Sus scrofa: one gene and its partners. The protein of the gene in region 3 binds, or shares a complex with, the protein of the main gene of each other region. Links are inferred from orthologs where the notes say so. Each region holds a gene or a part of one and is shown on either strand. Other genes may lie near its edges. The genes, in order: UBA3, DCUN1D3 and UBE2F.

What was found.
Region 1: the proteins of UBE2F (region 3) and UBA3 are in contact, whole or in part, in a crystal structure (PDB 3FN1), measured with the Homo sapiens proteins. The link is inferred for Sus scrofa from reciprocal best matches to the Homo sapiens genes UBE2F and UBA3. Residues at the interface, in NP_001265234.1 of Homo sapiens: Thr27, Arg28, Arg29, Val30, Asp34, Lys35, Val38, Lys39, Val41, Ala42, Glu45, Val54, His55, Phe56, Pro57, Asp58, Pro59, Asn60, Leu62; in NP_003959.3 of Homo sapiens: Ala401, Thr403, Thr405, Leu406, Glu407, Gly408, Asn410, Arg411, Thr412, Ser417, Val418, Thr419, Ser420, Ile421, Arg424, Thr425, Gln442, Glu443, Ala445, Ala447, Asp448, Val449, Thr451, Pro452, Gln453, Thr454, Leu456.
Region 2: the proteins of UBE2F (region 3) and DCUN1D3 are in contact, whole or in part, in a crystal structure (PDB 4GBA), measured with the Homo sapiens proteins. The link is inferred for Sus scrofa from reciprocal best matches to the Homo sapiens genes UBE2F and DCUN1D3. Residues at the interface, in NP_001265234.1 of Homo sapiens: Leu2, Thr3, Leu4, Lys7, Leu8; in NP_775746.1 of Homo sapiens: Glu108, Glu109, Glu112, Pro122, Thr123, Glu124, Met139, Cys140, Glu194, Ile204, Ala207, Leu208.

Annotation. Positions count from the first base shown.
Region 1 is NC_010455.5:50,485,251-50,494,863, reverse strand, and holds part of UBA3 (NEDD8-activating enzyme E1 catalytic subunit), read left to right. Parts: intron 1-1,209; coding exon 1,210-1,290; intron 1,291-6,132; coding exon 6,133-6,176; intron 6,177-6,792; coding exon 6,793-6,857; intron 6,858-7,165; coding exon 7,166-7,321; intron 7,322-8,573; coding exon 8,574-8,676; intron 8,677-8,814; coding exon 8,815-8,928; intron 8,929-9,613. UniProt on the Homo sapiens protein: Catalytic subunit of the dimeric UBA3-NAE1 E1 enzyme. E1 activates NEDD8 by first adenylating its C-terminal glycine residue with ATP, thereafter linking this residue to the side chain of the catalytic cysteine, yielding a NEDD8-UBA3 thioester and free AMP.
Region 2 is NC_010445.4:25,182,078-25,191,690, forward strand, and holds part of DCUN1D3 (DCN1-like protein 3), read left to right. Parts: intron 1-1,947; 5' UTR 1,948-2,052; coding exon 2,053-2,483; intron 2,484-4,319; coding exon 4,320-4,803; 3' UTR 4,804-7,586; coding exon of another isoform or gene 7,587-7,692; 3' UTR 7,693-9,613. UniProt on the Homo sapiens protein: Contributes to the neddylation of all cullins by transferring NEDD8 from N-terminally acetylated NEDD8-conjugating E2s enzyme to different cullin C-terminal domain-RBX complexes and may play a role in the cell cycle progression by regulating the SCF ubiquitin E3 ligase complex, after UV damage.
Region 3 is NC_010457.5:137,563,092-137,573,409, forward strand, and holds the start of UBE2F (NEDD8-conjugating enzyme UBE2F), read left to right. Parts: upstream 1-4,162; 5' UTR 4,163-4,308; intron 4,309-4,519; exon of another isoform or gene 4,520-4,898; intron 4,899-8,511; exon of another isoform or gene 8,512-8,514; 5' UTR 8,515-8,530; coding exon 8,531-8,648; intron 8,649-8,671; exon of another isoform or gene 8,672-10,318. UniProt on the Homo sapiens protein: Accepts the ubiquitin-like protein NEDD8 from the UBA3-NAE1 E1 complex and catalyzes its covalent attachment to other proteins. Together with the E3 ubiquitin ligase RNF7/RBX2, specifically neddylates cullin-5 (CUL5).

The DNA of each region.
Region 1 (9,613 bases), on a different chromosome or scaffold from region 3:
AATAAAATATGAATTCTATCGAGCACAATGATTTTTTATTTTCACTTATTATTAAATGTGCTTAAATGGGAAGGAATACAAAGAGATAAGAATATGGTAACTTTCTTCCAGTCGTTCATAGTCTAGTAGTTTGATAGACCTCTATATGAACCAAAAATATGTTGTGAAAAAGTGCTAATGAAGCACTGAACTATATATACATGAGGGGATAGTTTATTTCTGTGAGGAGAGTGAAATACCAGGAAAGAAAATATCATTTGTATTGAGCTGTAGAAGAGCGAGAATTTATGCCTTTTCCTGTCTGTAGCTATGGTTTTTATCTAGGAGTGACTTTTTGAGGTCTTTAATTTTTGCCTTGTTGAAAATATTGGTAACATTTGCAATTTCAGATAATGCATCTGGAATTATTCCTTCAAAAACGTGGTTATGGCTTCTTCTGGGACACAAAATGTACTTCTTAATCAGCACACACTGGAAGAAGGGGATAAGTGAACATTCTTGCATCCCTAATATCCCTAAGTTTATTTCAACCAAGACTTGCATAGTAACACCTTAAAGATCTGGGATTCAGGGCAGATACTTGGAAATCTCTGGATCTGGGATAATTTTTTTTTTTTTTTTTTTTTTGTCTTTTTAGGGCCACACCCATGGCATATGGAGGTTCCCAGGCTAGGAGTCTAGTCAGAGCTGTAGCCGCTGGCCTACACCACAGCCACATCAACACCAGATCCAAGCTGTATCTGCGACTTACACCACAGCTCACGGCAACGCTGGATCCTTAACCCACTGATCGAGGCCAGGGATCGAACCTGTATCCCCATGGATACTAGCCAGATTCGTTTCTGCTGAGCCACGACGGGAACTCCTGGGATAATTTCTTGCATTGGGAAATGCAATAGTGAGAAGTAGCCAGGGAACATGCTGTTATGCTTTACCTTAAAAAAAAAAAAAAAAAACCACTGTTGTTCATATTTTCACTTAAATACTTAGATTTGTCAATACTTGTAAATACTTAGTTTAAAACAGCACCAGGGGTTGACATTTAGTGTTGAATGGCTAATTATTCATCAGAAATACTTAGGTAAAAATATTCCTTCTCAATATCCTCCAGATAAACTCACCATGGATATTTTTATGTTTGAAAGTAGATTATGTAGATCATGTAGATTTGTATCATGAATGATAATTGAAATATAATTTTTCCTGTAGGCCTAAAGATGTTGGAAGACCTAAGGCTGAAGTTGCTGCAGAATTTCTAAATGACAGAGTTCCTAATTGCAATGTAGTTCCGTATCCTTTTGAAAAATAAGTTACTTAATACTTAATTTTTTGAAGCTTTAAAAAAAATTATTGTAAAAGAGTTGTAGCGTAGAGAATACAGATCAGCAAAAAGAAGAGGAAAATCAGCAGCAGTGAGCTTATTATTACTGAGATAACTGCTGATAACACTTTGCTTTATGTCCTTCCAATCTTTTCTTTTTAAAGTTATATGCTTTTTTTTTTGGTCTGTTTCTATGGCTGAACCCGCGGCATATGGAGGTTCCCAGGCTAGGGGACTAATCAAAGCTATAGCTGCCTGGCCTACGCCACAACCATAACAATGCCGGATCTGAGCCCAGTCTGTGACCTACAGCACAGCTCACGGCAACGCCGGATCCTTAACCCACTGAGCGAGGCCAGGGATCAAACCCACAACCTCATGGTTCCTAGTCGGATTCATTAACCATTGAGCCACGACGAGAACTCCTGGCTGTAATTTTAAAATCTAGTTATGTAGCCAGTGCCATCTTCTGTTTTGCATTATTGCCCTTAATTTTAGTTTCAATGGTATGTCTCCTCTACTAGATTCTAAATTCACAGGCTGGATCCTGTTAATCTTTGTGTCTTACTACAGCAAAGAGTCAGCGTTATTATTAGCCAAATGTGGAAGACATGTTGGAGTAAATTTATTTTTACAAGAAATATGTTTTAAAAAAGGAGTATACACACTTTATTAATTCCTATACCTTTGGATATGGGGAACTTTTAGTATATCATGGAAATTCAGGAAATGGGATTTACTATGAAGGATTCAAAAATCAACATACAAAGATCATTTGTATTTCTATATACTAGCAGTGAACACATGGAAACTGAAACTTAAAACACTGTGCCACTTACAACCACTCAAAAGAAAAGGAGGAACAACACTTAGGTGTAAATGTAACAAAATAAGTATGGGACTTGTATGTTGATATTGCACAATGCTGAAGAAAGAAATCAAAGAAGATTTAAATAATGGGAAAATATTCTATTTTCAAAAATTGGATAATTCAACATACTAAAGATGTTATTTTTCCCCAAATTTGTGTATAAGTTTAACACAATTTCTATCAAAGTGCCTGCATTTTTTTGTTGTTGCTACAGACAAGATTATTCTAAAATTGATAGAAAGGGTAAGGAACACCTAAAACAATGCTGAGAAAGATCGAAGTGGAAGGAGTCACTATCCAATTTTAAGACTTACTCTATAGCCACAATCATCAAGACTGTGTGGTATTGCCAGAGAGAGATTAGCAGAACAGACTGGAGAAACCAGAAGTAGGCTCCTGCAGGTGTGGCCAGTTTATAGTCACAAAAGGTACAAAGCCAGTTCAAGGGAGGAAGACTATCTCTTGATAAATTGTGGTCAAGCCATCAGATGTCACTAGGCAAAAAAGTGAATCTCAAACCTCAAAATAACAAAACAACTCAAATTGCATCATAGTTTTAAGCATAAAATATAACACTTTGGAAGGTAACATATAAGAAAAATCTTTGAGACATAGGGCTTGATGAAGAGTCTTCAGACCACATTAGAAACATGCCATTAAAGAAAAAAGTATGTTAAATTGATTTTGATCAAAAGTAAAAACTTCTGCCCTGTAAAGGATCTTGTAAAGAGGGTGAAGAGCTAAGCTGCAGACTGCGAAATACTTACGAAGTAGGTTTCTGACAAAGGACTCAATCAAGAACATATAAAGAACTCTGAAAACCCAACAGTAAAAAATTACGATGCAGTTAGAAAATAGACAACAAATATTAAGGGATATTTCACTGAAGATAGCAAAAATCACTTGAAAAGATTTTCAGAATCATGAGGTATAAGAAATTGAAATTATGATCACAGTGAGGTATTACTATTCACCTATTAGGATAGCTGAAATAAAAAATATCAGTAAGTTTTGGCAAAAGTATAGAAAAACTGGATTACTCGTACATTGCTGACGGGAAATGTAAAATGATATAGCCATCAGGAAAATAATTTGGCTGTTTCTTAAAAATCTGAACAGGTACCATCCATATGACTAAATTTCATTCCTGGGTATTTACCCCAGAGAAATGAATACTATGTCCACGTACAAACTTATTCTCAAATGTTCACAGCAGCTTTATTTGCAGTACCCTCTAACTGGAAACCACCCAAATATCCATCACTAGGTGAATTGTTAAACTGTGATAACAGCCACACCTTGTAATAATACTGAGCAATAAAAAAGAATGAAGTACAATTAATGAAATATGACTTGGATGGATATCAAGAACATGATACTGAATGAAAAATGCCAGTGTCTATAAAAGTCATATATTGTATGATTACATTTATATAACCTTCTTCAAATGACAGTTATCTAGATAGAGAACAAATTAGTGATTGCCAGGGATCAGGGATGGTTGAGGGGATAGGTGTGACTGTAAAAGGGGTAGCTGGAGGGAGATCTTTGTGGTGATGAATAGTTGTGTATCTTTATTGTGGTCACACAGTTTTACATGTGGTTGAATGACAACCTTACACACATTGTACCCATGTTGTGTTTGTGGGTTTGATATTGTGCTGTAGGTATATGATGTAACCATTGGGGGGAAACTTGAGTGAAGGAAATGTGGGACCCCTCTGTACTATCTTAATAAAAATAAAAAAGTTCAATAATGTGAATACAGATCTCTATAGGGAGAAACAGAGGGTTTTTTTTTTTTTTTTTTTTTTTCCCAAGTGTTCACATTCTTTGTCCATCCCCATTATTTAGATCTGTGAAAATTTGGGTGTTTTGTAGAACTCTAGGAGATGGGATTTCTTGGCCTTGCTCCTCTATCTCCTATTGTTCCTTCATTGTTTGCTCTGGTTCTCTTTTGACCTGCCTTTTCTTTCTTTCTTTTTTTTTTCCTAGCCTACCTAACATTTTATTTTATTTTATTTTATGTTTTAATTGATATTTCCCCAATACATTTTTTTTTCTACTGAACAGCATGGTGACCCAGTTACACATACATGTACACATTCTATTTTCTCAGATTATCATGCTCCATCATAAGTGACTATAAATAGTTCTCAGCACTACACAGCAGGATCTCATTGCTAATCCATTCCAAAGGCAATAGTTTGCATCTATTAACCCCAAGCTCCCCATCCACCCCACTCCCTCCCACTCCCCCTTGGCAACCACAAGTATGTTCTCCAAGTCCATGATTTTCTTTTCTGTGGAAAGGTTCATTTTTGCCATGTATTAGATTCTAGATATAAGTGATATATGGTATTTGTCTTTATCTTTCGAATTTCCTTCACTCAGTATGAGAGTCTCTAGTTCCATCCATGATGCTGCAAATGGCATTATGTCATTTTTTTTATGGCTGAGTAGTATTCCATTGTGTATATATACCACATTTCCTAATCCAATCATCTGTTGATGGACATTTGGGTTGTTTCCATGTCTTGGCTATTGTGAATAGTGCTGCAATGAACATGTGGGTGCCTGTGTCTTTTTTAAGGCAAGGTTTGTCCAGATATATGCCCAAGAGTGGGATAGCAATAATAGTGGGTTATATGGTAGTTTTATGTATAGATTTCTAAGGTACCTCTATACTGTTCTCCATCGTTGACCTCCCTTTTCTAGCTGTAGTTTTTGTCTCTTGTTTGTCTGGCATTCCAGAGGAATAGAGGTCTGAGTGGGTGAGAACTAGAATTTTCATAACTTTATTTTTAGGCTAGAATAAAAAAATCTAGAGCAAACGTATATTGTCCTTGTTGCTCCTAACAGAAAAAAAAAAAAAAATTTGTTGTAGATATTCTGTTCAAATGCTACGTACTGTGATTCACATTCCCCACCAATTTGGATGGGGTTCCCTTGGCACCCTCCAGACTGGGGAAGACTGCTGATAGGGTGTGGGCTGGGTAAGGAGAGAGAGATTTGGAATACTGAGTTAAACAAGAGAGGGAGAAAGAATTCATTGACCACCCCCAAACAAAACAAAACAAAACCCAATGACCAGTAAGTACTTGAAAAAGCTTTTAAAACATCTATTTTTAAAAATTATGTTTATTTAAAAAATTTTTATATTTTCACTTTAAGGTCTGTACCTGTGGCATATGAATGTTCTCAGACTAGGGGTCTAATCAGAGTTGCAGCTGCTGGCTTATACCACAGCGTGGCAATGCCAGATCCGAGCCACATCTGCAAATTACACTGAAGCTCATGGCAATGCTGGATCCTTAACCCACTGAGCAGGGCCAGGGATCGAACACACACATGTCCTCATGAATTCTAGTCGGGTTCGTTACCACTCGTTACCACCACAACAGGAACTCCTCTGTTTTTTTAAAATTAGCTTTGTGGTAACTTTTTTTTTCTACTTGATCTTATCTGACATATAACATTGTATAATTTTAAGGTGTGCAATTTGTTATTTTGTGTAGTATATTGACTCCTAAAATCACCTTTCTAAAATGGGAAATACAATGTCTGTTTCCTTTACTAAACAAATGTTAATTGCTGCTTAGCTTGGTCCTGGTGGTTGAAGATGTGCATTCTGCTTTCCTGGGGCTTACAGTTTTATATAAAAACTGAAGCAGAATAGAAAGTATAGCAGAGACAGAATTATAATGATGGGGATTTGGAGATGAGAGAAGCTAAGTAGTTAGGGGAAGAGTGTTTAGGAAAAAGCTTTTCTGAGAGCTAGGGTTGTGTTCTTTTTGTCAGATTCCTTGAATTCCATTGCTTTGAACATTGATGACTTATGTCTTGTTTTAAATATACATTTATAATGTGATCCTTATGGCATTGTCAAATTCACTTTATAAGATAAAAACTCAGCCTAAGTTCCTTTACTTGTATTCAGACATTTCAACAAGATTCAGGATTTTAACGACACTTTCTATCGACGTAAGTTTTCCACTTGAAGTTAAATTCTCCCTAAATTCTTACTGTTTTTAGTTGCTGTTTATTTGAAGATTGGTAGCTTTTTTTTTCTTTTTTTGTCTTTTTTAGGGCCACACCCGTGGCATATGGAAGTTCCCAGGCTAGAGGTCAGATTGGAGCTGCAGCTGCCTGCCTAAACCACAGCCACAGCCATGCCAGATCCAAGCCACTTCTGCAGCCTACACAGCAGCTCATGGCAATGTTGGATCCTTAACCCACTGAGCGAGGCCAGGGATCAAGCCCACATCCTCATGGGTACTAGTCGGGTTCGTTATTGCTGAGCCACAATGGGAACTCCTGAAGATTGGTAGCTTTTTGAAGGCTGTTTCTTTCTTTGCCTTCATTTCTTGGTGTTGACTTTTCAGGAGGTTGTCAATTGATCGGAAAGGGAATGCCACTGTTTGAATTTCTAGTTGGCATTGTTAGCCACATATTTGTATTCTGTCTTGAGTAAAGATTACTCAAGGATTAGAAGCTGTGTGTGTATTACAGTGAAAAATGGGTTTGTTTGTTTCTTAGAAATTGAATTATTTTGTGCTGTGATACTTTAAAAAACTAAATTTGTGTTTTTTTCTTGTAGAATTTCATATAATTGTATGTGGACTGGACTCTATCATAGCCAGAAGATGGATAAATGGCATGCTGGTAAAGACTTAGTGTTGTTACGATTCTCTAAGGTTCTTGGTGCTGCTTTTAACAGACTGAAAACGAGACTTTCATGACATATTTTTGAGAAATCACAGTTTAATTTTTAATGATAGACATAGTCCAGTGATTATATTGCCAGTCATTAATTTTCAGGTGAGGACATAAATTGCTAAGAAAATAGTCCCTTGATTTGATATATTAGTACTCAACAGTGTGATTGACTCATAGAATTACTTGATAGCATTTTCTTTATTTTTGAATTCTTATCCCGTTCTCCTTATAAATCCTTCAAATAATTTTTCTAGATATCTCTTCTAAATTATGAAGATGGTGTATTAGATCCAAGCTCCATTGTCCCTTTGATAGATGGGGGGACAGAAGGTTTTAAAGGAAATGCCCGAGTAATTCTCCCAGGAATGACTGCTTGTATTGAATGCACACTGGAACTGTACCCACCGCAGGTAATCATAAAAACACTTGTATCTATTTTATAGTATCTCGGGGTGGAATGAGGGTTGAATTATTAAGAAAGACTAGTCAATATTTACAATTTCTAGATATGGGGTACCATATTTAAAAAATCATCCCAAGAAGAAAGATGATAAAGCATGAAATTTTGCTCTGTTTGAGGAAAGATACAGACAGAATAACGTCATTTTGATACTGTTTTGTTTTCATAATTCGTTTGTATTTTTTTTATTTGGAGAGTAGGGATCAAAGGATCAATTACAAAGTTATATATTGTATAGCTGTAATCTATTTTCTTTGGTTTTTGTCTTTTCAAGGAGGTAAAGATACCAGGAATGAGAATGATTTCCAAAGATGGGGCTCTTTACATACTCACTTAAGGACATTTGAAATTTTGATTTATAATTATTAGTATTTACTTGAAAGTTATTTTATTTATTATTTATTTGTCTTTTTAGGGCTGCCCCAACCGCATATGGAGCTTCCCAGGCTAGGGGTCCAGTCGGAGCTATAGCTGTTGGCCTACGCCACAGGCACAGCAATGCCAGATCCAAGCCGCATCTGCGACCTATACCACAGCTCACAGTGACACTAGATCCTTAACCCACTGAGCAAGGCCGGGGATTGAACCTATGTCCTCATGGATAATAGATTTGTTTCTGCTGAGCCACGACGGGAACTCCAGATTTTAACACTGTGAATTTTCTTTTGTTTTGGTTGATTTTATACCTTCAGATATAAATATTAGGTAAACATAGCAATTCGAGATTTTATTCAGCCCTTTCCTCTAACAAAGCTTAAATTTATATGTATTTTGTAAATGGAGAGCAGACCTATTTTTTAGGCAGATCAAGCTAAGGGGAGTGACTCAGAAGATCTGTTATTTTCAAATTCATTTTATTTATTTATTTATTTATTGGCCACACCCGCAGCATGTGGAAGTTCTCAGGGCCAGGGATTGAATCCCTGGATGCAGCTGTGGCAACTCCGGATGCTTTAACCCACAGTGCCTGGCTGAGGATCAAACTCAGTAGCAACCCATGCCATTGCAGTCGGATTCTTAACCCACTGTGTCACAGCAGGAACTCCTAAATGGCATTTTCATGGTATAAAATGTTTTGTTTCTGTAAATAGAGGGCTAAGATGAGTTATTGAAAATGGTTACAAACTAGATCACAACCGGAAGTTACATTTTAAAATAATTTATTGTTTAAATCCACTAAAAAAGGAAAACTGTGGTTTTAGGTTAATTTTCCCATGTGCACCATTGCATCTATGCCCAGGCTACCAGAGCACTGTATTGAGTATGTAAGGATATTGCAGTGGCCTAAGGAGCAGCCTTTTGGAGGTAATAAACCTAATTTCACAATCCAGATTTACGTAAGATATTTGTCTATGTTATTTATTTGGAAAATTACATTAAAAATAAGTTGGTCTTTGTTTACATGTTTCTGTCTTCCTTTCCTTTTTTTCCTTCCCCTAACAGAAGGGGTTCCATTAGATGGAGATGATCCTGACCATATTCAGTGGATTTTCCAAAAATCCCTAGAGAGAGCATCACAATATAATATTAGAGGTGTTACGTATAGACTCACTCAAGGTAAGTTAGTGAATAGTCGTGAATTATGTTCTTAGAATGATCCCCTTTTCAGGGATTGGAATGCTTTCAAGGAAATAACTGATAAGTGATTTTGGATAGTACTGTCCATTTGAGGTTTAGTAAAGCTACCATGGAAATAATAGTTTCCAGGTGTCCCAAATTTGGTAGGAGGGAACTGAGTTCACCAGAATCCATACTACTTCTTAACCAGGAGGAATTTAGTGAAATCATTGAATCGTATTTACTTAGGATTGGAAGAGGGCCTAACTCATCTAGGTCAAATCATTTACTTTATCTTCGGCTGAAGAGCAATTCATCCCTTCCTGGGGCAGTCTATTTCACATTTGGTCATTATTGTTAAGACATTTCTATATATTGAACAGAAATCTCCGTATTGTATAAGGTCTGAATATTTTCCCAAGATTTGCCATATATAAATTTAATTCTCTTTTAAATAATAGCCCTTAGGAATTCCTGTTATGGTTCAGCAGTAAAGAACCTGACTAATATCTATGAGGTTGCGTATTTGATCCCTGGCCTTGCTCAGTGGGTTAAGGATCCAGCATTGTTATGGCTGTGGCATAGGCTAGCAGCTGCAGCTCTTATCTGACCCCTATCTGGGAACATCCATATGCCACAGGTGCAGCCCTTAAAAAAAAAAAAAAGTAATAGCTGTTAAAGTATT
Region 2 (9,613 bases), on a different chromosome or scaffold from region 3:
ACCCTTAAGTCTCATTTTCACACCAAAACCCGTTCTAAGGGTTTCAGTGTGTTTTTGAAACCTGAGTGAAACTGCCAGTCTTTTAAGGGCCTGTATGGTCATGTCTGTCATTTATTCTTGTTGAGGGTGGAGAAGGGGACACACCCTGATATGATGTGACTGCAGTAACTATAGGAATGGTTCTGGTCTTTGTTTTAAACTTGTACACTCAGAACTTACCCTTAGAATTCCTTTTGAAGATACCTCCAAATTGATCCAAGCACTCTTTGGAGGAAGCTCACGTTCTCCAGGTAAAGTTTAAAGCTCCAACCTTCCATTAAAAGCACCCCTCTGCCCCAGCGCCAGTCTCCTTAGAGCTTTGACTTGGGATTGAGGGTCCATGAGAGCTTCAGCTTGGGAGGCATGAGCCTGACATTGACTTGGTCTGCTTTCCCTGGGAGAAAATTTACTTCTGGCTCCTGGTCTAAATGTCTGTTAATGTTATAATTTCAAGGCTGCAATTATTGAGAAGGTGGCAAAATTTTACAAGTACTAAATTATAGATGGATCTTCTAGCAGACCAGTTGAAAGAGTTGATAGTCTTCAGAGAAATTACCTCACCCTGACCCAGAAATTTCTAGCAATTCTTTAAAAAACACTTTTTAGTTCCTTAAACTACTGTGATGAGTTTGTTACGTATCAGTGCAGACTTTTCTTTTTCATTTCGCAATTATTTCTAAATAATTGGGTAAATCAGCCTTTTTTTTTTTTTTTTTTTTTTTTTTTTTTTGCTTTTTAGGGCTGCACCCGCAGCATAGGAAGTTCCCAGGCTAGGGGTCGAATCAGAGTTCTGGCCTACGCCACAGCCACAGCCACACCAGATCTGAGCCGCGTCTGTGACCTACACCACAGCTCACGGCAATGCCTGGTCCTTAACCCACTGAGGGAGTCTAGGGATCGAACTCAAAACCTCCTGGTTACTAGTCAGATTCGTTTTTGCTGCACCACGACGGGAACTCCCCAGCCCTTCTTTTACAATGGAGACAGCATCTTGGAAGACTAAGGGCCCTATAGGACGTTGACGTTTAGTGCGAACTTGGCTTTCCTTCCACACCGCACCTGCTGAGGGGGGTAAAGAAATCAGTGACTGGGACCCCTGGTGTAGAGAACAGCCTTGATGGACGGCTCCTCTGGGTGGAGAACGGGTGTTTCATCTATGTGTGGTGGGTCCCAGAAAGGAGTTTGAAGAAATTAGATGACATTTTACCTTGTTATTTGGCTAGGATTCTCTTTATAGCCTTGAATTTGCAAATTCTTTACATCTTTGGGCCATTATGACACCATACAGTTGTTTTGGATGTGGCCACCCCTTTTTCCCCCACCACTCATCCTACATCAAAAGAAAATCTGAGAATTTGGACATTAGAGACGAGAGGATGGACATTTTACTTGCACCTTCTGAGTTAACACAGCTCCAAGTAACTTTCTTATGTGATGGCAAGTTAGCAAGATAAATTTCCTTTGGAGTATTTCTGGCAAAACTTTAGTCTTCCTTTTTTTCTTGGCCGTACCTGTGGCATGTGGAAGTTTTGAGGCCAGGGGTCAAACCCATGCTGCAGTTGCCACCTGTGCCACAGCTGTAGCAAGGCTGAATCCTTAACCTGCTGTGTTGCATGGGCACTTTGCCTTCCGTGATGTGTCCTGCATGTGAATCAATCTCTTTGGGATCTATGTTACCTTAAGAATTTTAGGAATTTTCCTTAATGCTTCTCCATATGTGCTCTAGCCTTTGCATTTCCAAGGCGAAAGTGTAAGCTTGCAAGAGGGGATAGTGATGAACTTGGGGCATCTCCCCTGATTCATGGTTGGTTCACTGAAACAGTGCTGTCCCAACGCACAGGCCCTGGAGAGGAGCCTGCATCCTGCATCTCTCTGTCCAGTGCTGATCATGCCCTAATTTCTTTCCAGGTTGGCTGGCTCCTCTGGCTGATGGCATGTTGAGGCACATGGACCAGTGTCAACGAGGGCATCCAGTCCAGAGGGGGCCACTCTAGAGGTCAGGCCACCAGCATCATGGGCCAGTGTGTCACCAAGTGCAAGAATCCCTCATCAACTCTGGGTAGCAAAAATGGAGACCGTGACCCCAGCAGCAAGTCATACAGCAGGCGGGGCGCAGGCCACCGCGAGGAACAGCTGCCAGCCTGTGGCAAGCCAGGTGGGGATATCCTCGTCAATGGGACCAAGAAGGCAGAGGCTGCTGCTGAGGCCTGCCAGTTGCCAACGTCCTCGGGAGATGCTGGGAGGGAGCCCAAGTCAAATGCCGAGGAGTCTTCCTTACAGAGGCTGGAAGAACTGTTCAGGCGCTATAAGGACGAGCGGGAGGATGCAATTTTGGAGGAAGGCATGGAGCGCTTTTGCAATGACCTATGTGTGGACCCCACGGAATTTCGAGTGCTGCTCTTGGCTTGGAAGTTCCAGGCTGCTACCATGTGCAAATTCACCAGGTTAGTCCCAAGGGTCAGCAGGTGAGCAGAGGAGGTGAGAGAGGCCTACTGAGCAGTGGTGTCCAGCTAGGATAGACCTAGGCTGACTTCTGAGGGGTTTGAGTAAATCTTAATTTCCTTTTCTGACCAATTTCTCTAAAGCTATTCAGCCTCTGGAGAACTGGGCAACCAGTCATCTTTGTCTGAAGTTAAATGAGGAGTAATCCACGTTGCCAAGGTGCCGCCCCGCTCACTGCTATTCTAGACTTTCTTTTCTTGTAAATTCACTCACGTCCTCACTCACTTGATATTTATTGTTCACTTATCACGTGTCAGGCACTGTGAGTGCCAGTATAGTGAGTGCCACTGGGGATATGCCTCAGTCACTTCATGAAGCAAGTTGCCCCTTTTGGCTCCACACATAACCCTTAGCCAGCCTATGTGCCAGCTGGCCCCAGTGTCAAGCAGTAGTTGTGTACATTGTCATGCATGCCTGTAGAGGTTGTGTGTGGGAGATGGCACGGCAGGGCCACCCTAAGGTTTGGTTTGCAGAGCACTGAGTTAATAAAGGAAGAAGAATTGACTTTGAGAACCTCTCAGTATCATTTCTTGCCCCTGGGTAGGTTACCTGACAACAGACCTCAGATGTTCTTTCTCAGCAAATACAGAAATCTCTGAGATTATCACTGTGAGACTGTGTTGTCAACTGCAAGCATTATATAGATATTAAAGATACACAATTTTTGTGGGTTTTTTTGGCCTCACCTGTGGCATGCTCAAGTTTCCAGGCCAGGGATGGAACCCGTGCCACAGCAGTGACAGAATGAGATCCTTAATCCACTGAGCCACCAGGGAACTCCCCACAAAATTTTTTTTTTTTTTTTTTTTTTTAGGGCTTCATCTGCAGCATATGGAGGTTCCCAGGCTGGGGGTCCAATCAGAACTACAGCTGCTGGCTTACCCCACAGCCACGGCAAAACGGGATCTGAGCCGAGTCTGCAACCTGCTCCGCGGCTCACAGCAACACCGGGTCCTTAACCCACTGAGCCAGGCCAGGGAACAAACCTGCGTCCTCATGGATACTAGTCAGCCATCATCACCACTGAGCCATGACAGGAACTCCCAATTTTTGTCTTTTAATAACAGAACTTTGGAGTTCCTGTCATGGCGCAGTGGTTAACGAACCCAACTAGGAGCCATGAGGTTGTGGGTTTGATCCCTGGCCTTGTTCAGTGGGTTAAGGATCTGGTGTTGCCATGAGCCATGGTGTAGGTCACAGACGCGGCTCGGATCCCGAGTTGCTGTGGCTGTGGTGTAGGCTGGTGGCTATAGCTCTGATTGGACCCCTAGCCTGGGAATCTCCATATGCCGTGGGTGCAGCCCTAGAAATAACAGAACTTTGATCTCTGGTGGTAGAGTTACCCAGGTTCATCCAGAATCTTGGCTCCAGAAATTTCCCTTGGCAGGGACCAAAAAAATTCCCCAACAACCCCTAGAGAATCAAAAGGAAAACAGGAAGAGACTCTCCCCATCTGGGAGGAGAATCTGTAACTTAAATCACCATTGCAGGGCGGGAAATAGGGCACAGAGCAGGAGACCTGCTTATGAATGAACCATTATCAGCTGCCTACCATGTGCCAGTCACTGTTAGGAGCAGTTGACATATTCACTTGTTTAATCCAAACCCTATGAAATAAGGTAGTATTCTCACCATTTGAGAGGAAGTAGGACCACAGTTAGTGAGGGGTTGGGAATTCAAATCTAGCCAGCCAGCCACACAGCTATGCTCTTAATACTATATTGCCTCTCAGTAAGTGATACTATTTACAATTATTGTGTCCCTCTTTCCTCTTGCAGGAAGGAGTTTTTTGATGGCTGCAAAGCAATAAGTGCAGACAGCATTGATGGGATCTGTGCACGGTTCCCTAGCCTCTTAACAGAAGCCAAACAAGAGGATAAATTCAAGGATCTCTACCGGTTTACATTTCAGTTCGGCCTGGACTCTGAAGAAGGGCAGCGGTCACTGCATCGGGAAATAGCCATTGCCCTGTGGAAACTAGTCTTTACCCAGAACAATCCCCCGGTATTGGACCAGTGGCTAAACTTCCTAACAGAGAACCCCTCGGGGATCAAGGGCATCTCCAGGGACACTTGGAACATGTTCCTTAACTTCACTCAGGTGATTGGCCCTGACCTCAGCAACTACAGCGAAGATGAGGCCTGGCCAAGTCTCTTCGATACCTTTGTGGAGTGGGAGATGGAGCGGAGGAAAAGAGAAGGGGAAGGGAGAGGTGCACTCAGCTCAGGGCCCGAGGGCTTGTGTCCCGCGGAGCAGACTTAGTGGCTCTGTCCCAGGCGCAGCAGCACGGATCTGCCCGCTGCCCTGCAGCCAACTGAGGAATTGGACCTTTCTGGAATTTGCTGAAGATCCGGATATTTTCTACTTTACACCTTTCTCTGCCTTGTATCTGAAAGGGCTCTAAAATGCTGTATCATGTTTTAGGCACTTTCTTCACTTTTTGGTTATTTTGGTTATTTCTTTTTTGGGGGGGTTCCCCCAAAATATTTGAACCTGGCTAACTGTTGTTTATCTTTTTTTTTTTTTTTTTTTTAAGCCTTCAGATAGAATAAGCCTGCCATTTCTTGCACAAATTAGATTTTTTTGGGGGGGCGGGGGAGGGTGTAGAGCAGGGAGGGGGGAATGGGACAGTTAGGTTGAATTATCATTACAAAATGACACAGTGCCAGATCTCAGTTTTGGATATTCTTGATTTTCAGGGCAGGTCTGTACTGTGTGTAGTGCTGTTTACATGGTTGAATTTAGGTTGTAATAATTATTTTTAAACATTATGCAGAATTGAATAGCAGTGTTAACTGTTAACCACATTGCATTAATTCCCAGGCAGTTTAAAGCTCTTGGAGAGCCAAGGCCAGCCAAGGGCATTTGTAGTCTGGGGACAACCCCCTTTTAAGCTAATTTATCTGAAATCCTTATTTTCCTCACTTCTTGCTCATTCCTCCTTTGACCTATTGCATTTCATGTTGAGTTTATCCATCAACATGCTGCACCTGTCAGTCAAGTGAGCAGTTTTTTTAGAACACCTTGTACTGAGAACCACTTAAGCATCGAATGCAGAGAAAGCAGTGCTACCTCAGTTTTGCTGGAAGTAGACTTTGATAGTTTTCTTTCTTTGATGAATTTTCTGTATTTTCATGTTGTAAGTGGAAATACTTTTTTTTTTTTTTTTTTTTTTTTCATTTGCCTTGGAGCCAAAGTTTCTGTTCCTGGTGGTTGGCAAACTGTGCCTGCCGGCCAACTGACTTGAAGGAAAACTGTGGTATGGAGCTCTGCTTGAATTTTTTTTTTTAATTTTTTTGAGTATCATCAGCTTACTTGTCTGGCAAGTGCAGAAGCCTGGGGCTGGCCTGAACTCTGCCAAACAAATATAGAAATGTATTTAATAGTTAAATGTGTGCCCTTTCCCTTCTTGCTGCACCCATGTTGTCACTTAACCCCCAGAAGTTATTTATTATCTTCTTTGTTACTGTCAGGCTCATTTGGGGTATGTGATGACTGTTTAGGTTTACATGACTCTCCTCTCCTTTCCCTGCCCCCAAATATGTATATATACATATATAAGATATGTATATATTTTACCTATATAAAATATATATATATACACATATATGTATCTATTTTTTTTTCTTTGCCTGCTAAAACTGGCTATAAAAGGGAGCTGCCTTCAATATAAAAAAGTATAAGAAGAGTGCCAGGGAACATCATAAAGGAGGTTTTGAATCTGAATTTGGACTGTTTTCACTGAAGATGAAATTTCTCAGCCCTTTCCTCACAAGAGGGAGTCTCAGTTCCCTAGTGCTCGCTCCGTAAGGCCAGCTTTGGCCAAACTGCCACACAGGAGCTGACTGGTCCTCCCTTGTTTCAGTAGAGGGTCCTCTTGTTATTTTTACACTTAAAAAAAAAAAAGTCATGAAACTGTACTGGAGGGGTGGGTGGGAGGAACTTGTACAGTTCAGCTTCCAACACTTTGGAACAGACTGAAAAGAGAATCTTTTAAATAAAAACTTATAAAAATATTTATATTCTTGGGGTAATGAGAATTTATTAAACATTTGGACCCCCATCTCCAGGCATGTTTCTCAGCCTGGGCAGGAATTGCTTATTTTCTTTTATTAGTAGCCTATGGCTCTGGGCTCCCATCTTTACAAAGATGATTTAAGGAGTTTCTACAGTTTTTCTAAAATTGGCACTGACATAGAGTACATACTTGAAGTTTTTCTTTTTTTTTTTTTAAATCCTAACAGTTGCCCCTTCTACAGGATGGATGGGAAACTTAAAATCACTTAAAGTCAGCTATAATAGGTTAGCAATACTGCTGGAAAGCTGAACAGGGCCCCAGTCCAGATGCTAACACACAAGATCCTTGTATAAAAGTTTCTGGGTGTCCCAGCAGATTCTGTGGGCTCAGCTGTAGTCGGGGTCCCTAGACTGAGGTGTTAACAAGACCACCTTCTCACCCAGTTTTTCCGATTCTCGATTGGGTAGAGGTTGAATAAGGGTAAAGGTAGGCTGCTCCTAGCCAGCTAAGGATTTTCTGTCTCAGATCAGAAGGGTATATGGGAGTTCCTGTTGTGGCTCAGCAGTAACGAACTCAGCTAGTATCCATGAGGACATGGGTTTGATCCCTGGCCTTGCACAATGGGCTAGAGGACCCAGTGATGCTGTGAGCTTGTGGTGTAGGTGTCAGAGGCTCGGATCCTGCATTGCTGTGGCGTGGTGTAGGCAGCAGCTACAGCTCCCATTCGACCCCTAGCCTAGAAACTTCATATGCTGTGAGCGCAGCCCTAAAAAGACCCCCCAAAAAAAAGAAAAAAAAAAAGGTGTATGGCAAGTAGGGCCCAAAAGAGGTAGACTTCCTCAGCCTACAAGAAGGCATGCCATTCATTAAGTATGCTATAAAGTGTGGATTTTTTTAATTCAACTATTCAGCTTCCCACCCCTCACAAAAGAGCCATTTAAATTTACTTTTGGTTGTATTTTAATGATACATATGTTACAAAAATGTGCAAATGAGAAGCCAGAAAAGAGAATGGTCAGGGAGGGACTTAAGTCTCCTTCCAGGTATGTGTCCTTGATGCAAGGAATTCAAGCTTCTGCAGTAGCCTGGGCCAATGCCTGACTTTTTTCTTGACAATAGGAAAAGCAGTTTTGCTGCAGAGAGATCCAAGGTAGAGAACGTATGTAAAGTTTGCATTTACACTTCTGGGAAATGAAAGGTCCCTGTTCCTCTTTGCCTAGAAGTAGCTTTACTGCTTAATGAGCAGTAATTGTGTGGAGGTCAATGCATGCCCCTCAGGTAAGCCAGTGCACTCTTCACTTTAACAGGACACCAGAGTGGTGTCGTGGTGTGGAGACAGGAAGGATGTGGATGCTATTTTGAAAATATGCAGATATCTGAGTGACTACAACGAACTGGGTATGTTGGGAAATTGCTTGTTTTTGGCAAGTGACTGTGTGTGATATTTCTTTAGCAATTGATTAGAAAGCTATATGAGATTAAGTTGCTTCACTGAATTGCTCTTTCCCCATCCCTGCCAAATTTGAATGTGTCATTCTTAACCCCACCTCCTGTAATGACATTTTGCTATGCTTCAACTAGTTGCCTCAGCAGTTCTGCCAGATGTGCCCATATGTGAGCTGGGTCCAAGATCCCATTTCTACCCTTCTGATTAGAAGGAAAAGCTAGAGCTGGGTAGAGATCCAAATTTCAACAAAGGCCACAGGCACAAGGAAATCCAACTGAAAACGTACAAGACAGTGTTTTCAATATTAAACTTCCCTAACAAAGGCACAAACTCACCCAGGAAAGGAAGAAAGGATTAAGCCACACACTATTATTTGGTCTTTAGGGACTGATGCCAAAATTCAGTCCTCAGGCTGGAGCCTGTAGGGTTAATGTGATGGCTTCCTATATTATGCCAAATTGTATAAAACAGTGGTGGAAAATCGCTAGGATAAGGACTTGGTATAAAAGTTTAAAAAACAAAAGAGAAAATCTGTATTTAGTACTGTGTTTGGTTTGCCACATTTAAGACAGTCTTCAGTGCCCTGAAGCTCAAAGGTAGACCCAATTATACAACAATTATAAGGGCTGGAAGGAAGCTGCTGCTACGTTTTCTTGCTGTAATCACCTGCTTTGCCATTTTTCTTGTGTCTTAACGTTTGGTTAATGATGACCTGGACATCTTTAACTGACAAAGCTCGACAAAGCTCTTCCTTGGGGGACTCCAGCAGTTTGTTTAAACAAAGTGGACTGAAAAGGCCATTAAAGTGTTATTAAAGTGTTAATGGGGACTCATTTGAGAACCTGTGACACTGATCTTCCTTAGCCCACAGTCTGTTTTCTCAATTATATAAAGGTTCCCACCCAATCCCCCTCGAGAGTTTATTCCTTTGCTAAGCTGTAATTATAGCATACACCCAGGTTAACCTCATTTGGCGTTACATCACAGCGAGGATCTACAGGTATTTTTCTTCACTGAAAGACAAAATTGAGTACTGGTTGCAGAAACAAGGTTGGTTCAAATAGCTTTGAGTAACCATCAGATCCTGCTTCTGACTCAGGTGCTGGGGCATGATATCCTCCCTGTCCTCTGCTTGGAAACTGAGCCAGCCTGCACTTCCACCACCCACCTCCGGACACAAATCTTGGATATTGCCAAAGGAAGCCACTCAGCAGCTGCTGTTTTTTTCCCCCAAAAAAAACATTTATTCTGGGAGAAGAGTCTTCCCTCTGTTCCTGGTCCCAGCCCCAAGTCTGTGATTAACTGCTCATACCTGTTGCACTAATGAATGATTCTAGGTTTCAAAGGGAGAATTTGAAGCAATAGGCAAATGGGGCTTGGAGAAATTGGTCCTACAGATACCCTGCCTTAACTCGTTGAGGTGATGAGTGACCCTCCACGTTTGTGGATTCCTCTTGGTTTGTGACCAGTGTGCTCCTTGAAGTTGTACAAACTTGTTGACAAAAGTCAATACTTTGTATTCTCTGCACTGTTGCACTCTCCAAATGGCCCCTTGGATATTTTTATTAACTGGTTATATACATTTTTGTCGTTGTCTACATTTTTTG
Region 3 (10,318 bases):
TTGCTCAAGTCATCCCACCCTCTGCTTCCCTGGTCACATCCCTGCTACTGACTCGGAGGTCCCGCTCTCATGAGGACGTTGTGACTCTGATGGCCCTCCTGGATAATTCAGGACAGTCTCCCCATCCTAGTCCACGTAGGCTGCTTTATCGAAATACCACAGTCCAGAGGTTTATAAACAACAGAAATGTATTTCTCACTGCTCTGAAGGCTGCAAGTCCAAGGTCAAGGTGTCTGCAGATTTGGTATCCATTGAGGTTCATTTTCTGATTCGTAGAGGGCCACTTTCTCTCTGTGTCCTCACATGGCAGAAGGGCCGAGGGGCTGAGGCTTGTATAAGGGCCCTCAGCCCTCGGGCCAGCATCCTGCACTTTCTCATCCTGAGTCTCGTCAGGGCGGCTGTAATGTGGTGACTTGATGGCTGCAAGCTCCTTTGTTTCTTGCTGTGGCAGCGGCATTTTTCACTGATAGTTTTCAGCCTCCCCATTGGCCTCTAAGCCACCCTCCCTCTCTCCCTGCTTCAAGTCTCTAAACTCAGGTGGGACGATGGAGACTGAGCTCCCCTGTGCAGTGCAAACCTTGGGAGTCCCACTTGTATCCCCCCATTCCATGGGGCTTTACCTAGTGCCAGTTCTCCAAGGAGCTCATGCTCTCAGAGGGCAGGGTCTGCGCCTGGTACGTTCTGTCCCCTTCAAGTTCACCATATGGTTCCTGACTTACTGAAACCGATTTCAGAAGACCCTGGAGGGGCGCGGGCCTGTGTGTGTCCAGGCCCACTCTTCAGTGCCCTGGGCCTTGCTCCCCAGGAGAGCCGCCCTGGGTTGGAGGTAGGATGTGTGCCCCAGGATAACCTGGAGCAATACCCGAACAGGTGGAGCTGGTGCCAGCTGAGGGCCGAGTTGGCCCCTTCCCCCATGTCTCCTCTACACCTAGTGTTGCCAGGCTGCTTCCCACCCAGGCAGGGGGCTGCAACTGGAGCATCGCTAAGGTCTTGCCCTGGTGGAGGCTTGGAGTCCCCAGGACAGTGTGGGGCAGCGGAAGGGACACGAGCCCTGGACCAGGGGGGCTTGGCTCTGCTGCCGGGTTTAATCTCAGGGCAATCCCCCACCGAAGCATGGTGCCAGGAATGTCTACACTGATGGGGGGCTACTGATGGGGGGAGCTCTGCCCCATCCCGCATGAGCAAGAGGGAAGAGTGAGTGGATGGCTAACGAAGGCGTCCCCCGGGGCTTCCCCGAGGCCCTGCCCTGACCTCACAGACACCCAGGCGATGTTAAGCAGCTGGCAGGCTGCCCCAGGCTGAAGGGTGCCCTGTCACCTGGTGAGGGAGGCCCAGAACAGGCCTGGACAGCTCCTGGGACAGCTCGTGCAGTGGTGTCCAGAGGCAGGAATGGCTGAAAAGATAGGGGCATCTCCCCTTCCACGCTCCCGCCGGAGGCCCTGGGTCGAGCTTCTCAGGGGAGGCGTGAAGGCCCACTGTGTCCCCCTGGGCTTCCACTGGCACCAGTACCCCCCTTGGAGGCTCGTTACTGGGTCCAAGCTCGTGCTGCTTGCTGCACAGCAGGCTAATAAATCAAGACTTGAGTTGCTGGGGCAAAGAAGAGCAACTTGACTCAGAAGGGCAGCGGACTGAGACGACGGTGGACAAGTGTCGCAAGAACCACCTTCCCGGAGTTAGAATTCAGGCTTCTTTTATACTAAAAGGGGAGGGGTTCTCTTATAGTAAAAAGTCCTGGTTCTGTCAGACTCTGGAGGGGTCTCTTAATTTCTTCCTGCCTGCAGCCATTCACAGGTGGGCCTGGTCAGAGGTTTCCTCGGAAGGAAACAAAGGCATTTGAGTGCGATGCTCATTGCTGGGAGGCGAGGTCCCCAGAGATGGGCCATTGTGTATAATTTAAGCTTATAGGCACCATGCCTTTACTGATTAACTTGTAACAGAATACAAAGGTTCTTCCCTATCGTAGGCCCACAATTGGTCCTCTTCCCCCTCCTCCTGTATGTATGGGCTTACACACACACACACACACACACACACACACACACACACACACACACACACACACACACACACACACACACACACACACACACACACACACACACACACACACACACACACACACACACACACACACACACACACACACACACACACACACACACACACACACACACACACACACACACACACACACGGTGAGCACATGATCTGAACCCAGCCATTCTCTCCCAGAGAATGTGAAACTGGAAGGGAAGAGACGGCCCCTCTATGGCCTGGTTTATAAAGGTGTGTTTGAAGCCAGACCCCAGTTCTGGAGGCATCTGGGAGGAGAAGGCCAGCCCCGCCACTGCCCCTGTCCCAGGCCAAGACCCAGATGGAGGCACTGAGAGCTGGAGGCCAGGCTCCCCGTTCTCTCCTTAGAGTCTCTGAGCATGTCTAGTCTTCTGAATCTTTTGTGCTTAAGCCAGTGAAAGTTCTGTTTCTGAAAGAGCCCTGGTTGAAAACAAATTGCTTCTCCAGGAAGCAGGACGCCAACTCTGCCGCAGTCCTGGCTGATGGCCGCACCTGCTGCCCAAGGGACGTGGTGCACTGGTTGAGGGCAAATCCCAGCTCTGCCATGTCGGGCAGACACGTAACTTCTGAGCTTCCTCATCTGTAAGGTGGAGATAATAAAATACCCGTTTCATGAGGTTGCTGTGAGGATTACAGGACTTCCGAGCCTAGTAAACCCTAAATAAGGCTCGGGTGAAGGCACGAGGCAGCCTCATGAAATGGAGCTAGAAGCGGCTTCATTTGCCCACAGCAGTGAGAGGTGGGCCACTGTGGGCTCAGAACGGTGTGTAGACAATTCTCCTTAGTAAGACAAGCGCTCAAGCCAACCCACGTGTGCCTTCACTCGCTGCCCTGCTTCAAGGTCTTATCTTCTCTCGCCAGGACTCTGGCTACAAACACGCAGCCCTTATCCAGCAATGTGTTTTGACCCGGTTATGTACCAGGTTTGGGGAGGAGGTTAGAAGGGTGGGAAACACAGATGAGGAGGCCTGAGGAGCTGAGCATAGGGAAACGGGCATCAACAGTCTTGAGCACCAGGGAGAGGAGAGCACGGAGGTCCAGCAAAGTCACAGAGGGGCACCTGCACCTTACCACTCGGAGCAGGTGGATCCAAGCATGGGAAAATTTAGGAGGTAGCCCAGTGAAGATGGACGAAGCTGTTCCCAGACAGAAGGAATCCCATGAATTTTGTTCTTAACTGGTCTTCCTGACTCTTGTCTGGCTCCCCTCCCACCAGCTCCCTCAGAGCCAGAAGGCTCTTTTGGAAAAGAAACTTGAAATTGCCACTCCACTGTTTAAAACCTCTCAGTGGGACTTCTGGAAATAAAATTCTAACTCCTTGCCTCTTTCTTCCCCGTCCACGAGGTGAACCTCTTCTCTCAGATGGCTCACTCCTCCAGGAGGCTGGCGACCCCCGCCAGAGCACCTATTAACCAGACACACCTGAACTTGAGAATAATTAGTACTCAGCAAACCAGAAATTAGAACAACTTGAAATGGATTTTTTTAAAGTAAGTACGTCACGGAAGTGTAAGAGATAATAGAAGGAATAAACCCTAAGACAACAGGAAAGAGCCCACCCACTCCACTGCAGGCTCCCCGAGGCTTCCCGGGGTTGGGGGTTGGTGGCTGCAGGTCTAATCGCCCCGCCCCCCTCACTCCTGACACCGCGGACTGTGGGGCGGCCTGGTCCTCTGCACCCTGAGCCCTGGGATGGGCACATAGCGGGCACCCCATCCACCGGGGCAGTCAGTTCGGACCTGGCAGCCCCAGCAGGCCACGCTGCGCGGGGAACCTCTGAGCCGCAGGCCCAGGCCTACCAAACGACCAAATGAATGAAAGCAGGAACGCAGCGCAAAGGAACCCGCGCCGCTGCGGAAAGGACTTGGAGATCCCGCCCCCGGACGCCATTGGCCAATCATCGGAGGCCTTCAGGCTCGTGCCCGCCCCCCAGCCGCGCTCCTTGCCAATGAGAGGGGCCGGATCTGCCGGCTGCCTACCCCGGCCCCGGCCCGCTGGCTCTGCTGTTCGCGTGTCAGTCTCTAAATAAAGTTCTTCGCGGCTTTGAATTTTTTTTTTAAAGCGCCAGCTGCTGTTGCGGCCGCCGCGGGCGAGAGCGGCAGAGTCCCCGCCCCGCTACTTCCGGTCCCGCCGCCCGGAGCCGGTGCTGCTGTGAGGGGCTGCGCTTCGCCGCCGCCGGCCGGCCGGGCATGGTGTTGGGCGCCGGTCCCGCCTCGCCTGTCTCCGGGTGCCCAGGTGAGGAGCGCGCGGCCCTGCGGCGAGCGAGGGGCGGCCGCCGGCCAGAGGACGGCTCGGTTCCCGCGGCGCCGGTGCACCCGGCGGGCGGGCGGCGCCGGGGCCGCCTCAGGCCGCGCCGCTCCTCACGACCGGGCGCCGGGGCCCGAGGGCCGGTGGGCGGGCGCTGCGGGGCGCGGGCCGGGGCGCGGGCCGCGGCGGGGCTGGAGGGCCGGCCCTCCCGGAGCCCCGACCTGTGCCGGGCACACACGGCCTCGCTTGTGGCCGCCGTCGCGGGGGAGCTGCGGCCGCATTGTCGGGGAGGAAGCGCAGCGCCCAGCGGGCCCAAGGTCACCGGCCCGACGTGGCCGGAGGCAGCGGGAGTCGGGCGCGGGCGGGCGGCCTCCCGGCCTCCCGGGGAATCGGGCTAGGCCAGGGGGCGGTGCGGGTGCGGAGGAGCCGGGCTCCCGCCCCGCCAACTTGCGGGCGGCCTCCGGACAACCCGGGGCAGCACGGCTAGGGTGGAGGATCTTGCCGGGGCCCAGAATGGGGGAGGACATCCTGGACCAATCCCTACGGCCCAGTCCCGGATTCTAGACCTGGTTCCGCTGGTGTGTAATCTTGGGTGTGGCCCTCGGCTCCCTGGGTCGCGGTTGCCTCTTCCTTCTGTCCCCGGAGCGGATCGGGCCCGCCCCTCTCTGCCTCCGTCCAGCGCCGGAGTGGGGTCGGGAGGGACTGGAGTGGCCAGAGAAGGCTTCGTGGAGGAGATGGAGGAGCCTGTTATCCTAAAGAAGCAGCATTAGGGGCGGCGAAGGGAGGGAGGGCCTTCCAGACCTGGATATCAGATTGAGCAGAAGCTTCCAGAAATGAGCCGGGGTTGGCGAGGAACACGGAGGAGGCCCACCTCCCTCGTGCAGAGGCCCCTGGCTGGGCAAGGGGGTGAAGGCAGGGGACCGGAATGGTGGGAGCCGTGTTCAGAGAGAGAGACCACGGCCACCTAGGTGGTCTGGACTTGAGGACCTCCACCCCCGACACAGCTGCCACTCAGGAGGCGGCAGGTTTACCGCTAAAATTAAAGGGCTGGGCTCCAAAGGTCACTGGGCAGCCAGCCACCTTGCCCTGGCGTTTTAAAGAGGGAGGGTGGGGTGTGGACTTTTGTGTGTCCCGATCTGGGCCGCTTTGGCTGGAGATGTGGGTTGTCCCCTAGTGACCTGCAGTTCCATCTTTTAAGCTTCGATTGGGACTTGTCCAGGGCAGGAAGAATTGTAAACGAGGAGTTCCCCACCCACTGAGCTGACGGTCACCCGGACCTGATTTGGCCACAACGGGCAGGAGCACTGAGTAAACACTTGAGGATGAGACTAGGAAATAGCACAGCAGAATCTCTGAACAGTCTGAGAGCACGTCCCGCCCAGAGGAAGAACTTAAATGGCCCGATTTCAACTAGTGGAGTTAGAGACTGTGGGTGCTCTTCTGTGTAGTTGATCTGTTGTTACTGAAAATGCTGCCCTCGTCAAAGTGTCATTTGCAGTGAAGGGGAAGCTTAGTTTTGAACCAGTCCTGCAAGGCGGGAAGCATAGTTAAGGAGAGACTTCTGAAGCAAACTGCAGGTGTTCCGTTAATTGACAGCTTGAATAATTATTTTTGTTCAGATCTCTTTGTATAGACTTAATTTAACAGCTGAAGTAGTCCCAGATTAGACCTTTGGTTTGTCCCGAAGTGGCGTGTGTGGGAGAGGGACAGGCGCTGGAGGATAGATGGTCCCCGTGTGTAGATGGCTTAGAATGTTAGGAAAATAAGTCTTGTCTTCCTGAGGAAAACAAAGCACCGGTGTTATTTTCTTCTGTCTTGCACAGCCAGTGCCCAGTGTATTTTATTAAGGGCCATAAACTTGTTGAGAGTTGCAAACCAGCAGTCTGACTCAAAATGGGATTGAGTATGGGGCACACTCTGCCTGCAGCGAAGAGTTCAGGATGGGGTAGTGAGGAGACGCGAATTAAGCAGGGACCTCCAACTGCAGCGACACGGAAGAGTGTCCGGGTGTGAGCCTTTGTGTGTGTGTGTGTGAGTCTTGCCGGGACCCTCTGAGCATCTCCTCCTGTGCAGGTGCTCAAGGAGCTGAGCGTGGACCAGTCGCGTGCCCTGGGACCCGCTTTCCCGCCGGGCCCCGTAGGAGGACTTTCCCGGGCTGCCGCCTGCCGAGCTCTCTCTACCGGTGCTGGGCTTTGTTGCTGGCCGTGTGCGTAGTGCCAGGGTCCGCTAGCGGCTGAAGACCAAGTGGACCTGTGACAGCTGCATCTCTCGGCCTATCATCAGGCGACGCATCCATGTGCTCAGGCGTGGGTGCGAGGCAGGGGCTTGCTGGGGGGGGGGACACACTGCTTGGGATCCAGACCTGCGCGAGGGATCGCGGGCCAGATGGTGCGGGTGGAGGCCGACCAGGAGCGCCCGGCTCCAGACGGTGCTGCGGCCTCTGGTGGCTTGTGGGCTGAGCCCCCACAGGCGTTCCTGGCTCCCCGGCGCCCTCCCTGGTGAGCTTCCTTTGTGAGCCCCTGGTTCCTGCCGCAGGTGAAGCTGAGCTGAGCGTTGGTGGTTTGGTCCTCCGTGTAGGTCCAGCTGAGGAGAGAGCGTGGCAGAGTGGGAGTGAAGAAACTGTCACGTCTCGTCACCTTGACTGAGGGACAGCTGAAGCACGCTGACCTGTACATATTTAAACATGCAGTTTGATCGGACTTTGGTGTGTGTATAGCCTGAAATCACCCCCTTGTTCGGGGCGGAAACATTCCCGTCATCCTCAGAGGGAAACGAGCGGGTCTGCGGTGACCTCTTGTAGCCTCTGAGTGGCCTCCGACAGCCCAGTTCCTGGGCCCCAGGTGTCCCAGGGTCCACACCCATGACAAAGAGTGGGATCTGGGGGAGAAGTCCTCCCCAGATTGGAAATTCTAGGAGCTTGTGAGCGCTCCTGTCAGGTGGAACTGTCTCTTGAAGCACTTAGACCAGGGGTGCATGAGGGGACCAGGCGTGTGTGTGTCTGTGCGTGGGTCCTGTGCAGTTAGTTCAAAAGGCCATATTTAATACGTTGTTTTCATGGTACACATAACAGAAAATGAAGTCCGACCGTCTTTAAGGGCTGGAGGGTACACAGAAGATGGTGTAAAAGCTCTGTGAGGACCTGGGTTAGAGTGGTTAAAAATACCAGTGGGAGTAGGTTACTCTCACGGTTCGCCTTTAAAGATCTTGAACTCAAACCAAGCGTTGTGTGCTCACGTCCGTTTTTCATCCGGAAGTTTTAGATCATTTTCTTTTGAAAATGATCAGAGTGGTATCAGAAGGAAATTATGTTAAAGCCACAAAGGAAAGTATGGGAATGTTGAGCTGGTGACCAATTTTCATCCTCAATCAAAAGAAGTTCCAGAACTTCTCTCCAGCTGGTAAAACAAGCGAGAAGGGCTAGGAGGCCTGCCAGGTGAAGGGTGGCTCACGTAGAGAAGGCAGATTCGGTAGGATGGTTCCCTCTGTAAACGCTGCGGACACCTTCAGTCCTTCCTCCCAAGTGGTCAGTGCATCCCCTGTGTTTGGTCTTTGTGGTCCTTCCCAGTGAGCTTTCGAGAGGGCACCTGAAACTCGGTGGGTGGGAAGCAGCCAGTGAAAAGAATCCAGTGTGGGGCACTAATTATAACTGAATTATGCTGAGATTGCCTAACACTGTAAATACAGCACAACATACGTGAATGTGAAGGTGCTTATTAAGGGTCCAGCCACACCTTTATTAAAGGAAGGAGGAGAGAAAGCGAGGCTCCCTCCTCACCGGAGCCCGTTCCCCCCCGTCTGCGATGGGCCAGGCACTGGGGCCACACCGGGGGTGCCTGGTCCCCACGGCAGGAAGGGCGGACATACCGGTGGGCTGTGCTGGGCCCCCGTAGAACCGTCAGCAGAGGCTCCCCTAGACCATGAGCTCGGGGAGCATGGTCACTGCTACATGCCGGGGCCTGGTGCCCACCGAGTGCTATGTGCTTGGCTCTTCAAGCGAAACTTTCATTCATACTTTAGAAAATCATATTTAGAGAGGCATAGAGAACCCCCAGATTCATTACGAAGGACTCTAGTCTTCTTTATGTACCTTACGTGCTAAATTATGGGGAAACAATTAAACCCCCCTGACATCACTGTCTTCGCTGTCCAGCCACGGTCCGGAGATGCGTCCTCACCCTGTGTTTGGTCTTTCAGGGTAAAGGCAGCAGGAATGCTGACGCTGGCGAGCAAACTGAAGCGGGACGACGGTCTCAAGGGGTCCCGGGCGTCCCCCGCAGCCTCCGACTCCACTCGGCGGGTTTCTGTGCGAGACAGGCTGCTTGTTAAAGGTAGTGACCACCCTGTGGGCAGCTTTATACCCCAAACAGAAGGAGGCCTGGCCGGAGGCGCTCGGGGAAACGAAGCAGCCTGTTGCTGAATAGAAACACCTGTTTGAAAATATTTCAAAATATTAATTGATTATCGTTTACGACAGAGGAGTTCGTACTGCACACACACCATGGGAGTGCTCGTGGCAAGAAAATGGTATTAAAACCATGGTGTGTCTTCTGCACGTGGACTGTTCTCTGCAGGAGCTGCCAGGATGCCAGTGGGAGGAATAGGTGCCAGGAACCAGCGGGCTCACATCTCTGGTCTCGGCGCTGTCATTCCCTGGCTGGTGCTTGGCGGGGGGGCTTTCTTCTCTCTTCCGGACGCCTCGCTCCAGAGCGTCTGATCTGTAGAGGGAGGAGTGGAGCGTGGCCGTCTCCTAAGACCCTCCCAGCCTGAGGGGAGGCTTGTGCAAAATCCGTTCTCTTCTCAGAAGTGATAACACAGTGTCCTAGGGCCGGAGGCTTTGGGGAAGGGTTTATACCGTGTGTGTGTGTCAATATGCGAGCCTTTGTCTGGAACTTTTGCGTTTATTCATTGACCAGACTTAGAGCTACTGAGTGCAGTTTCCTGGGGACTTGAGGCTACGACGATGAAGAAACAGTTTCTGCCTTTAAGGCACTGAGAGTTTGCAGCACTTCTTACTTTGTGACATGTGTACTTTTTTTAGTATAAGGAGCCAGGAGGCACAGAGGGTTAAGTAGTTGGTTAGAACTGCCTGTTTTCCGGTTGAGTGAGGTGGGTGCCATGGCGTTTGCAGGTCTAGGAACAGGGCTAATGGGAGGACCGGGTGAGTGTGCGGGCGCTGTGTTGGACCTTCTCAGAAACAGCTCTGCCAAGGTTGTGAAGGGGTGGGCTGGAAACAGGTGGCCTCGGGTTCCGGGAGACTCCAGTGGAATAAGGGACACTCTTCCGTGCTCTCCCGCTGCCCCTGAATCTTGACTTAGCTCTGGCTTTCCCACCTGGTGGCAGATGAGTTAAAGATGGAGTGATTCTTCAGTCGCCTTTGACATTTTGGCAACACCTTCCAAGTCTGGGAGAGCGTCAGATTGTGCTCAGTTTGTGACCTTGCCGGAAGGGTTACCCTCTGGGGTCAGAGGTGGGGCCTGGGCTGCAGCACCTCACCAGGGAGCCCTGGGAGGACTTGAGCCTCCTAGATGCTGGCTCCAGGCTCCCATCTGCAGAGGACCAGGGAAGGGAAGCAGGCCAGGGAAGGGGGTTGATGCCTGGGGCTATAGTCCTTCCAGGGAGGGTGTTCTGATGCCCAGGAAGTTGCAGTGAGGAAGGAAGAACGGGTGGGAAGCTGGCCAGTAGACAGCGCCGTCTCTGTACCGTCTCCGTGCCCTGGTCGACGGCAGCTGTTGTCCACTGAGCATGTGGGGCCAGGCCCTCCGTCGGGTACTTGATAGGGCTGTTCTTGTTTGACTTTGGCTAAGCCTTGCCCGGAGGGTAGTTCATTTTATAGCTGAAGAACTGAGACTCAGAGAGGTTTAAAAATGTGCCCAGGTTGCAGCTTTGTTGCAGTAAGACAACCAGACCCCCATGTTGAGTCAGGGCAGGAACTTGCAGAACAGACCCAGCAAGCAGACACCAAAGGAGCAGAACAGAAGTGCAAGTCCACGGAAAAGAG